3 linked regions of the Oryctolagus cuniculus genome follow. The protein of the gene in region 3 binds, or shares a complex with, the protein of the main gene of each other region. Links are inferred from orthologs where the notes say so. Each region holds a gene or a part of one and is shown on either strand. Other genes may lie near its edges. The genes, in order: ADGRF1, NPFFR1 and GNAI1.

Region 1 (3,649 bases), on a different chromosome or scaffold from region 3:
ATAACCATAAAGGTGATATTATGAGAGGTTAAATGATTATTCTAAAGCAGGTATTCTCAAAGTACTGTGCCCAGGCCAGCATCATCGGCATCAGGAAATTGAATGAAAATGTAAATTCTTTTCCTTATCTCAGATTTGCTAAGAATCTCTGGAGTGAGATCTTCCAGGTCATCCCAATGAATAATGAAGTTTGAGCACCACTGATTACACATTGTTTTGCGTATTTTCACCAAGGTTTGCTCCATTTTTTTTTGATTATTAAAAAGGGTGACTTTTGGTGAGAATTTCAGGTGCAATAGAAGAAAATGAGCATACAAAATTGGCTGATGAAGCTTTGTCATCTTGACTTCCCCAGTTAAATCTCTCCACCTTTGCCATCTTGCTTGTAAGGCCTATATTGGGGTGGTTACAGGTTTACTGAGAGGGTAGTGACCAAAATACCCTCTAGATATTTGCCTACATTCCAGGTATTCTTTTCTGCCTCTCTCTTTTATTGCAACAGATAGCCACAGGGCACACATTATTCTTTGAGAGCTAAGCCCAGCCATTTTACTGCTATGTTTCTGATATCAACCTCAGAATTTATTGAGTTAGACATTTCCTTATGTTGCCATCCTGGACTCACCCTTCAGGATTTTGGTGAGAAACTCTTGGTTCAGATTCTAAGTCAGAGTCAATGATTTGAACTTTGCAGTAGTCAGTTCATAAATGAGGATCCATGAGACCAAGTTCTATCTTTTCTGCAGACTGTAGCAGCCTGAATGGAATATTGCGGTGTGGCTGTGAAGATAGCTACACATGGTTTCCTCCCTCATGCCTTGACCCCCGGTATTGCTGTCTTCACATGGCTGGATCACTCCCAAGCTGTGAATGTCATCTCAACAACCTCAGCCAGAGTGTCAATTTCTGCGAAAGAGCAAGTAAGCACAGGGTCTGTCCCACCCCATCATTTTTTTTTTTTTTTTTGACAGGCAGAGTGGATAGTGAGAGAGTGAGAGACAGAGAGAAAGGTCTTCCTTTACTGTTGGTTCACCCTCCAATGGCTGCTGCGGCCAGTGCACCACATTGATCTGAAGCCGGGAGCCAGGTGCTTCTCCTGGTCTCCCATGCTGGTGCAGGGCCCAAGCACTTGGGCCATCCTCCACTGCACTCCCGGTCCACAGCAGAGAGCTGGCCTGGAAGAGGGGCAACCGGGACAGAATCTGGCACCCCGACCGGGACTAGAACCCGGGGTGCTGGTGCCGCAAGGTGGAGGATTAGCTTATTGAGCCACAGCGCCGGCCTGTCCCACCCCATCATGCAACAGAGTGGGGACTCCAGCTGTTGGCCTCACTGAGGAGAGTCAGTGTTCACAGAGAAATTCAAGAACAGTGATGATATTCTCTACTAGGTGCAGCTAAATGCAGTGGGCCCTTCATAAAGGCAGAAGAAACAGAAACACAAGTTGATGATTGGGCTATCACTTCAACCTCTAGGTACATCCAGGTCAGCTCTGTAGTTACATGATTCTGTTGAGATTTAGGGAGATTCAGTAAAATACCAAGTAGGGAAATTGCTTGAATAAGCAATATTTCTCTCCCTAGCCCTTTTTCACTTCTTTTGCCAAGATCAATTCTGGGCAAAGGGAAGTCTAGAGGTGTGAATGTAGGGAGGAAAGAAATGCTCAAAATTATGAATAAGTATGTGTACTGAATGAATTACCAAAGCAAAACACAAGTAAATGTCTAGCTTAGGAGCATGTGGAAGCTGAGTGAACTACTCTTGACTTAGGTTTTTGTTCAATGAGGTGAGCCAAACATGTGAACTCCAGTACTGGAACAACTTTAAGAAGTTTTCCCAAAGACAACTCTAGTTATCTGAAAACTCCAGATTTTGGTGGTGCTGAGCAAGAATGAGGGAGGAGCCTGAAACAGACTAGGTTAACCATGTATCCATGGTACCCGTCCCCTTCTCAGGAATGCAAGTTGTGGCAACATATATTTATTAAGAACTGTCCTTACAATCAGATATGGGACAAATTCTAGGAAGACACAAAGAAGCATTTATACATTAGCAGGTTAGTTGAGGCCAGGTGGTCCAGTAAGAAAGAAAACAATGTAATTTCTTCAACAAGTATGGATGAAAGCCCACTTTTTGAAAGATGGTCTTGTCTCATCCAACTTCAAGATATACAAAGACGCATCAGACAGGGGCTTCCCACGGAGTTATGGAATCGTGTGTAGATGAGACATGCACACAGATGGGTGTTTGGGCACAGAAGCTATAAGGGAGTATGAACAAAGTACTGTGGGGATGCATCTGGGGACCAGGGGAGGACTTCCAGGAGTGGTGACATTTGATCAGGTCCTAAATGAAGGTTAGATAGGATTTTTCCATACAGAGAACTGTAGCCTCCTGAGAAGGACAAGTATTATAATGGATGAGTAATGGACAAGTAAACAACAGACATGTTGGGGTTAGCAAGTAGTGGTTTGCTTTTACAATTTTTTTGGGGGACAATAATTAAACTGAATGCCTAGTTGGGATACATGTCAGTGTTCAGTGACTGCCTAGTGATATGTGAATGCTCATCTATTTACTTACTTGTCATTTGTCCTGGTTTCCAGCACTTTCACATTACTGTTCCAAATCACCATTGAAAACTCTGATTTTATTCTTCCTATATTATTTTTTGCAAACATGTATTATGAAAAGAAATTGAAATACTACTGTTGAATAGATGAAATCTAAATTGTACTCCTGATAAAATCAAGTTAGTAATTTACTGTATTCATGAACTTTTTTTTTTTTTTTTAAATCTCCAAAGAGGTTTGGGGCACTTTCAAAATTAACGAACGATTTACAAAAGACCTTTTGAATTCATCTTCTCCCATGTACTCCAAATACACAGCTGGAATTGAACTTCAAGTAAGCACTTTCAACTTATTATAAGGAATTGATTGCTAAATACAAGTTCAGATGTTTTCAATTCAGCATGTATATTTGATGCATATTATTCATTTATTTTCAATGTGGTATTACACTCCTTGAGCATTTTCTTTCTAGGAAAGTTTAGCAGCTGACTTGTTTACACTTCTCTTGTTTTCAGTGTTGCTCACTTATTTGAGTAATGCTGTGCTAAGGGTTTTTGGTTATTTTCTGTTTTTTGATTGGCCAAAAGAAAATTTTCATGACCTGAGCTTGACCATCAGCACTTGAGATTCTTCCATGAAGAAGACCCTCTCGTTAGAGGCTGATGAGAGTCACCAGACAAAGCTCTGTAATTCCTTATGAAGTCACATAAAAGCTAGATTAGCCTGGGATAGTGGCTCAGCTGTGGTTCTAACCATAGGGCATGAGCAAATACATTGCAGGTAGATTTGTTTTAGGTACTTATGGAGATCAATGGCTTGTTTTTTAATAAGAAACCAGATTTTGAGTCAATTTTTATATTATCTGGCATCGAACATATGCCCTATTCTAAGTAGCTATTATCCACTGATTATTTGCCATCTTAAAAATACATTTTCTGTGTTTTGTGTGTGCCTGCCTGTGTGTGTGTACACATATGCACTCAGCTGCTATTTTCACTGTATTTGTATGACATTCAACTACTTCCCATTGTATTTCTTTGCCTTGCTCATTTGCTACTGTTGGTTTATTTATTGTC
Region 2 (3,675 bases), on a different chromosome or scaffold from region 3:
GCACTGTTCTTATCCCCATTTTACAGATGAAGAAACTGAGGCAGCAGCAGAAAGCCGAGCGCAACTCAGGTCTTTGTCCCGCAGAAAGGTAGACTTGAGAAGGCACCTCCTGCTTCCCGCTCTAGGCAGGCTGCCCACTGCTGGGGATTAGTGTCAGCGTCTGGCCCAGTGATGAGCTCAGAGATGCCAGCAGATCAGGACGGAGGAGCAGCTGGAGTCAGAAGCTAGGACAGAAGCTAGCAAGCGGCTTCCAACTAGAGTCCCCCGGAACAAACCCTAAACCCCGTTCGCTGGAAGTTGGGACCTCTGTTCACTGATGGTGTCCGTAGGGTGCCTGACCAGCGGGCTCCGAGCTGGTGGCCCTCGCCCAGCTTCCTCCCTCGGCCGTCCAGGGTCTTTGCAGCTTCATCTCCTGTCCCGATCAGAAAGGCCCACGTCCTGGACACCAGCGCGAGCGGCCCGGGGTCGCGCTGGGCTGGGGCAAGGGGGAGGAGTGGGGACAGAGGCCGGGTGCGGGTCCCCGGGAGAGGGGTGCGCGGGTAACGGGCGTCGTGGCCAGGGCTCCGCGGGCGGCGGGCTGTGTCCCCTGCTTTGGAGGGGCGCTCGGTCCCGCGGAAGGAGGGAGGCATGCCGGGGCGCCCTCGCTCGGCGGGCGCAGGTGTGCCGGGTTCCATGGTGACGGCGCCGCGCCAGCCCCCTCCTTCCCGCTGGCCGGGGAAGTGCGGGGCGACTAGCAGGCAGCAGAGTCCGGCGGGCAGCGGAGCGGCGTGGAGCCCGCAACCCCGGCTCCGAGGGCAGCGAGACCAGCCCGACGCAGGGGCCTGAGAGCGCACGCCTCCTGCTCGCCTCCGCCCGGCCGGGACCGAGCTGCAGGGGGCAGGGGCAGGGGCGCCCCGGGGCGCTGCTCCGCCCCCGCCCACCCCTTGCGGGTCGAGGCTCCCTCGTCGTAGACTGGCCCGCAGCGCATGGGAGCTGGCAGCATGGAGGGTGAGTGGCCCCGGGGCTGCGGGGGACACTGAGTCAGGTGCAGAGAGATAAGGGACAGGGGCAGTCGACAGCACTGTGGCCCTCGGGTGGGTGACGGGGACCCTGAGAGAGGAAGAAAGACCCAGGGGGGATTCTGTGTTCACGGTGTGTGTGTGTGTGTGTGTGTGTGTGTGTGTAGAGAGAGAGAGAGAGAGAGAGAGAGAGAGACCGAGACCTGGAGGTGACTCTGTTGAGAGAGTGGGACAGAGACACACAGAGGAAGAGACCTGGAGGTTTCTATGTCCATGGTGTCTCTCTCCCTCCCCGTCCCGTGTGTGTGTGTGTGTGTGTGTGTGTGTGTGAGAGAGAGAGAGAGAGAGAGAGAGAGAGACACCTGGGGGAGAGACCTGAGGGTATCTATGTCCATGGTGTCTCTCTCCCTCCTTGTGTGTGTGTGTGTGTGTGTGAGAGAGAGAGAGAGACAGAGACAGAGAGAGAGACAGAGAGACAGAGACACACACACAGAGAGAGAGACAGAAAGAGAGACAGAAAGAGACAGAGACACCTGGGGGAGAGACCTGGGGGTATCTATGTCCATGGTATCTCCCTCCTTGTGTGTGTGTGTGAGAGAGAGAGAGAGAGAGACCTGGGGGAGGGTCTCCACTTCCCCCTCTATGTGCACCCCCATACTTGAGCTTCCTTTCTCTGGCGAGGAGAGGGCTGTTCGTTTCGGAGGAGTGCTCCCCGACTGTGGCTGCCTGAAGGAGTGGGGGTGCGGTGGTGGTGTTCCAGAGATCTTCCTACCCAGCAGTTTCTGTCCGTGGGGAGGGGGAACAGCTATGACCTCACCCCCCCCCCCCGGGATAGTGGCCAGGCACACAGCTGTTGTTCCAGACTTGCGCGGCGGGGGTCCAGACCCCTTTCCAGGCAGTGCAGGCAGGGGGAACTCTATGTGGGCTAAGAAACCAGAGGCTGGGGGGCTGGTCCTGTGGCTTGCGGGTGTCACTGAGATGGTGGCCAAACCTCTCGGTGCCATTGCTTACTTGTCTGTTAAGCGGAGCCACTTACCTCCGGCTGGCTTCCCGGAGCAGCTGAGGGGCTAAAATGAGACATGATGTGTTGTACAAATTCACGCCAGTCAAGGGAGGCTGCCACGAGAGGTGATGAAGCCTCGGAATGCCAATAAGTAATTACAGACACTTCTGTCAAGCAAAAAGGAGTTCTATAGAAAATCCGGGGAGTCTGCACTTGTAGCTGCCACTGCGCCGGGGCTTGAAAAGCAGACACACAAAAGATGCGAGCAGGACCGCGAAGCCCCCGATGAATCTGGGAGGCTGGCAGGATCTGGAGGAAGAGGGCCCAGGGCTCTGCAGCGCCGGTGAACAGAGGCAGGGAAAATTGGCCCAGACAGCCACCGGCTTTCAGAGTCTAAAGAAAGATAACAAGAAAGCATCTACTCAGCGCTGGGGCACAGAGTGGGCAGGGCGGGCACTGGCAATTTTGTTTCAAATGGTGGCATAAAGAGCACAAGGAGGGAACTGGAGAGGCAGGATAGGTGAGTGATGGGAGGAAGCACTGAGCCACCTACAAAGACCTCCCTCTGAAAGCCCAGACGCAGAACATCCTCCGGGCGGGATGCATTTACAGATGTAATCAGTAGGAAATTACACGGAACGAAGGAAGTGCCAGAGAACTGAAGACAGGCAAAAGCCCGACTTTCAAAAAGAAATGAAAGAATAATAAAAAAAAAAAAACCTCTAAACTGCTAAAATTAATGTTGACCTCTGAAAATTCCAGGAGAAATTATGGAATGAATGGCAAGCCTTTGGGAGGCAGAGCAATCACACACTGAAGCTTCTTTCAGAGGCAGCCGCCCCGTGCACCGTGGCAGAGCAGCCTCATACGGCACACAGTCAGGGGCCATCTCGGTGTCTGGATCAAATCAATTAGATAAGTGAAACATGAAACACACCTGTGAACAGCGTGCCACGCACACACTGAAAGCTGGGCTTCCGGGTTTCATTGACATGAAAATATGCTTGCTGCCTCAGTGAGTAATAAAAACAAAGCAGACTTTAGAACACATGGGTGGAATAGCCCTCTGTGTTCAGAACTACATAGGTTTATTATTCACACACACATGTATACAAACATAGGGACACCAACACCTCCTTTCAGATTTTCCTGCCTTTTTTTTTATTTGAAAGGCAGAATTAGAGAGTGAGACACACACACACACACACACACACACAGAGCTTTCATTCATTGGTTCACTCCCCCAAATGGCCACCATGACAGGGGTTGGGCCAGGCTGAAACCAGGAGCCAGGAGCTTCTTCTGGGTCTCCCATGTGGGGGTAGGGGCCCAAGGACTTGGGCCTCCTCTGCTGCTTTCCCAGGTGAATTATCAGGGAGCTGGACTGGAAGTGAAGCAGCCAGGACTCGAACCCATGCCCGTATGGGATGCCAGTGTCACAGGCAGTGGCTTAGCCCACTATGCCACAGAGCCAGCTCCCCGATTTTCCTGCTTCTGAAAGCAGCTCCAAGATCAGCACTTGGGTGTGGACAGTTTATTTGGAAGAAGAGCCAGGAGCCAGAAAGTGAGGGAAAGAGGGGAGTGGGATGGGAAAGGGAGGAAAGGCAAGACAGGGGGCGCTAGTGCACACCCCGTGGGCCGCTGGGCATTCCCTGCTGCTGGGGGAGCGAAGTC
Region 3 (3,649 bases):
ATCAAGAACAGTGCAGATGAGACACAGGCTGAAGAATGGAGAATTGGGGGTGGGGGGGGGGAGATGGCACTATAGGTTAAGCATCTGCATGTGGTACTGGCATAACATAGGGGCACCAGTTCGAGTCCTAGCTGCTCTACTTCAGATCTAGCTCCCTGCTGATGGTATGGGAAAGCAGCAGAAGATGGCCCAAGTGTTTGGGCCCCTGCACCTGTGTGGGAGACTCAGAAGAAGCTCCTGGCTCCTGGCTTCAGATCGGCCCAGCTCTGGCCTTTTTTGGCCATTTGGGGAGTGAACCAGCAGCTGGAAGACCTCTATCTCTCTGTCTCTCCCTCTCTATGTCTATAACACTGCCTCTCAGGTAAATAAATAAATCTTAAAAAAAAAAAAAAAAAGAAAAGGAATGGAGAACTAGGAGGTTCATGGTGTTATTACAAAGGTGAGAGGAGAAAGAGGAGAGACTTGAGGTGGGGAAAATAATACAAGGTCAGTTTGAGTTTCAATTGCTAAAAAGACACATCTATGTTCAAGAATGAATTGATAATGCAAGCTTGGGACTCTGGAGAGAAATTGAAGTGGCGGTTGTTTTTTCAAACTAGAAATAGCATCACTGCTTTTTTTCTTTTTTTAAGGTTTTATTCATTCATTTGAGAGGCAGAGTTACAGAGGGAGGGAGAGAGAAGGATAATCCATCTGCTGGTTCACTCTCCAAATGGCACAAACAGCTGGAGCTGGCCTAATCCAAAGCCAGGAGTCAAGAGCTTCTTCTGGGTCTCCCATGCGGGTGCAGGGGCCCAAGCATTTGGGCCATATTCTACTTCTTTCCCAGGACATCAGCAAGGAGCTGGCCACAGCAGAGAACTGGACTGGAAGAGGAGCAGCAGCCAGAATAAAACCAGCACCCATATGGGATGCTGGCACCACAGGCGGAGCCTTAGCCTACTACGCCACAGTGCTGGTTCCTGTTTGTTCTCCTTTTATACTTGATCTTAGCCAAAAGGCCAAGAAGCAATATGTTGTTCTCCTTTTAAGGTAGAGTTCACTTTTCTAAAATAAAATCTTACTGAGAAACCTGGTATGTCAAACCCACAAAAGTAGAACGACTCTGTTGTAGTGAGAGAGGAGTGGAAAGGCATGAAGGGTAGTGAGTCCTTCAATTCCAGGTACCTGCATTCAGCAGCAGCCCATGTGGGGCTCCAAGGAGCTAACCTACACTAAAACCAATGTTGCAGCCAAGTTCTTGATTTCACAGTCGGGGTATCATTAAGAACAGGGCAAGTTCACTGCTATATTCAAGACCAAGAGTTAATTATAGCCAACCCAGGAATGTACTTCAGAACAACTTTTCTCACTCAAGGGCATCTTCCAGGGCAGTAAACTCAAGGGCCATGAATAGTCTGGTTCCCAAAGTTGAGATCTTTTGTGAAATCGTCCCTGAATATCTGGAGAAATCTGTGGTTTCACTGAGTCCTGCTTCATTTCTCCCCTGACAATCATGTTTGTGCTCCTTTGTAGCAGTGTGTGGCAGGGCCATGGTTCCTTTAATAGTGTGAATGCCTTGGAGATTAGACAGCAAGCAGGCCTTGTGCATCACACATTACCTGATATGAGCTCTGTTAACCTGGTCAACAATGTTTTAAATTTTTGAAGGCTTGGAGTTGTCACGGAAAAGCACTTTTGACAGCTTTTCCTGAAAAGGGATGTTATTTTCAATAATCGCTTTCACATCTTAAGTAACTCAGAGTTTGATAAATAATTACCCAGAAGGAATATGAAGAATTACCAAGCCAAGAGACTCAAATCAACAACCCAATTTTGCCTTAGGGGATGTTTCACCTTGAAATATATGACTTGCTAAGTTATTTACCAAAAAGTAAAATACCTGCATATTCTGGATAGCAAATAGTGAGAGGGCTCTTTTTAATTTTTTCTTCAAAGAGGTCCTTCTTGTTTAGAAAAAGTATGATGGACGTGTCTGTAAACCATTTGTTGTTACATATGCTGTCGAACAATTTCATGCTTTCATGCATTCGATTCTGTAATAGAAAATGAAGTCACATCATCACTAATAGCAAAGATTTAGAGGACTATTTAAAAAATAACAAATATAATACAAGCTTATTCAGATGAATAATAGGTCATGGACCACAAAAATACATTTCTGCCATTTTAAGACAAGTATACTTTGAAACCCAATGAGCCCACCACATTAAATATTAGCAAAGGAGACTTCTAGTTCCAGTTTCCTGCTCTTAAAGGACCTGTGCTGAAAAGGAAACCAAGGAGCGTGGGCATCTGATACTGTGGTTAAGATGATGCTTTGGATACTACCATCCCATACCATGGGGCCTGGTTTGAAGCCCGGCTCCTCTGCCTACAACCCAGCTTCTGCTGTTGTATACTCTTAGAGGCAGCTGATGATGGGTCAAGTACTTGGGTCCCTACCACCAACATCGGAGACCTGGATTGAGCTTCAGGCACCTAGCTTTGGCCTAGCCCAGCCCTGGCTGTTGCATGCACTTTGAGAGTGATCCAATAAATAGAAGATGTGTCTCTCTCTCAAATAAAATAAAATAGGTTATTTTTGTTTGTTTGTTTCCCAAAACAAGAGCACTAAGGGGTAGGCATTTGGCCTAGCAGGAAAGACACACCCACATTCCATATTGGAGAGTCTGAGCTCAAGCCCCAGCACTGTTCCAATTCCAGCTTCCTGATAATGCACACCCTGGGAAGCAGGGGTGATGGTTCAAGCAGGTGGGTCCCTGCCTGCCATACGGCAATGTGGGATTGAGTTTTCAGCTCCAGTTTTACCCTGGACCAATCCTGGCTGTTACGAGCCTTTGAGGAACAAAGCAATGGATGAGAGCTTGCTGTGTCTCCCAAATAAAGAAACAGTATTTTTTACAGGGCACTGATATATTTAATAGCTTTTATATAAGAAAAACAAATGTGTAGTGTTGCATTTCACTTGACTGCACAGCCTGATTTTTAAAATATAAAACTCACATTTCTATCTATCCCTGTTCCCATTTTGTACTGAAGCTAATTAAAAACAATTGAGAATTTTAAAATTTATATTTAAAAAATTTTTCTGCATTGAAACACACAAGAAAATGACATGGCATCAGTATAGCATAACCTATGCGTAACAAAAATCACTACATGGGAGGAAGGGACACATGATGAAAAATGAGCCCTGGACGGCTATGGGCTGGCTTTATTTTCACTCGGGATGCAGACGGCAGATACAGGAAAGGCACAGTTGGCAGAGGGCAGGATGAAATGGACTCTCCATCGTCTCCTCTTTTTCAAGCCCCATCTGTGCTTCTTTACCAGATTTCTCTTGAATGATGCAAGCATAAAAGTCAGTGGAAAGTGACGGAACTTCAAATAATTCAGGCATGCATCAAGAATTTCTCAGAAAAACTTCTGGAAACACATCCCTCTCACTGCGTTTCATGCCCCACCCCAGAGAGTGGCTCTACTTGCCATCTCTTCGTCTTCAGCCAGGACCAGGTCATAGTCACTCAGTGCCACACAGAAGATGATGGCAGTCACTCCCTCGAAGCAGTGGATCCACTTCTTCCGTTCGGACCTCTGTCCTCCCACATCAAACATTCTGGAAGGGGAAACACAAGGAGCTGACGTG

The links.
Region 1: the proteins of GNAI1 (region 3) and ADGRF1 are in contact, whole or in part, in a cryo-EM structure (PDB 7X2V), measured with the Homo sapiens proteins. The link is inferred for Oryctolagus cuniculus from reciprocal best matches to the Homo sapiens genes GNAI1 and ADGRF1. Residues at the interface, in NP_002060.4 of Homo sapiens: Arg24, Glu28, Arg32, Leu194, Lys314, Asp315, Glu318, Thr340, Ile343, Ile344, Asn347, Leu348, Asp350, Cys351, Gly352, Leu353; in NP_722582.2 of Homo sapiens: Lys615, Gln618, Thr619, Arg623, Leu682, Arg685, Ile686, Val689, Phe690, His692, Val765, Lys768, Leu769, Arg771, Arg788, Ser792, Ile795, Leu796.
Region 2: the proteins of GNAI1 (region 3) and NPFFR1 are in contact, whole or in part, in a cryo-EM structure (PDB 9M0R), measured with the Homo sapiens proteins. The link is inferred for Oryctolagus cuniculus from reciprocal best matches to the Homo sapiens genes GNAI1 and NPFFR1. Residues at the interface, in NP_002060.4 of Homo sapiens: Ala31, Arg32, Asp341, Ile344, Asn347, Leu348, Lys349, Asp350, Cys351, Gly352, Leu353, Phe354; in NP_071429.1 of Homo sapiens: Thr78, Arg141, Cys144, Ile145, Pro148, Phe149, Leu243, Arg264, Arg265, Val268, Met271, Leu272, Phe332, Asn333, Glu334, Asn335.

What each region holds. Positions count from the first base shown.
Region 1 is NC_091436.1:123,114,095-123,117,743, forward strand, and holds part of ADGRF1 (adhesion G-protein coupled receptor F1), read left to right. Parts: intron 1-746; coding exon 747-920; intron 921-2,806; coding exon 2,807-2,907; intron 2,908-3,649. UniProt on the Homo sapiens protein: Adhesion G-protein coupled receptor (aGPCR) for N-docosahexaenoylethanolamine (synaptamide), an omega-3 fatty acid lipid highly enriched in the brain.
Region 2 is NC_091446.1:61,855,838-61,859,512, reverse strand, and holds the start of NPFFR1 (neuropeptide FF receptor 1), read left to right. Parts: upstream 1-742; 5' UTR 743-965; coding exon 966-987; intron 988-3,675. UniProt on the Homo sapiens protein: Receptor for NPAF (A-18-F-amide) and NPFF (F-8-F-amide) neuropeptides, also known as morphine-modulating peptides. Can also be activated by a variety of naturally occurring or synthetic FMRF-amide like ligands.
Region 3 is NC_091434.1:144,909,586-144,913,234, reverse strand, and holds part of GNAI1 (guanine nucleotide-binding protein G(i) subunit alpha-1), read right to left. Parts: intron 3,620-3,649; coding exon 3,490-3,619; intron 2,037-3,489; coding exon 1,883-2,036; intron 1-1,882. UniProt on the Homo sapiens protein: Guanine nucleotide-binding proteins (G proteins) function as transducers downstream of G protein-coupled receptors (GPCRs) in numerous signaling cascades.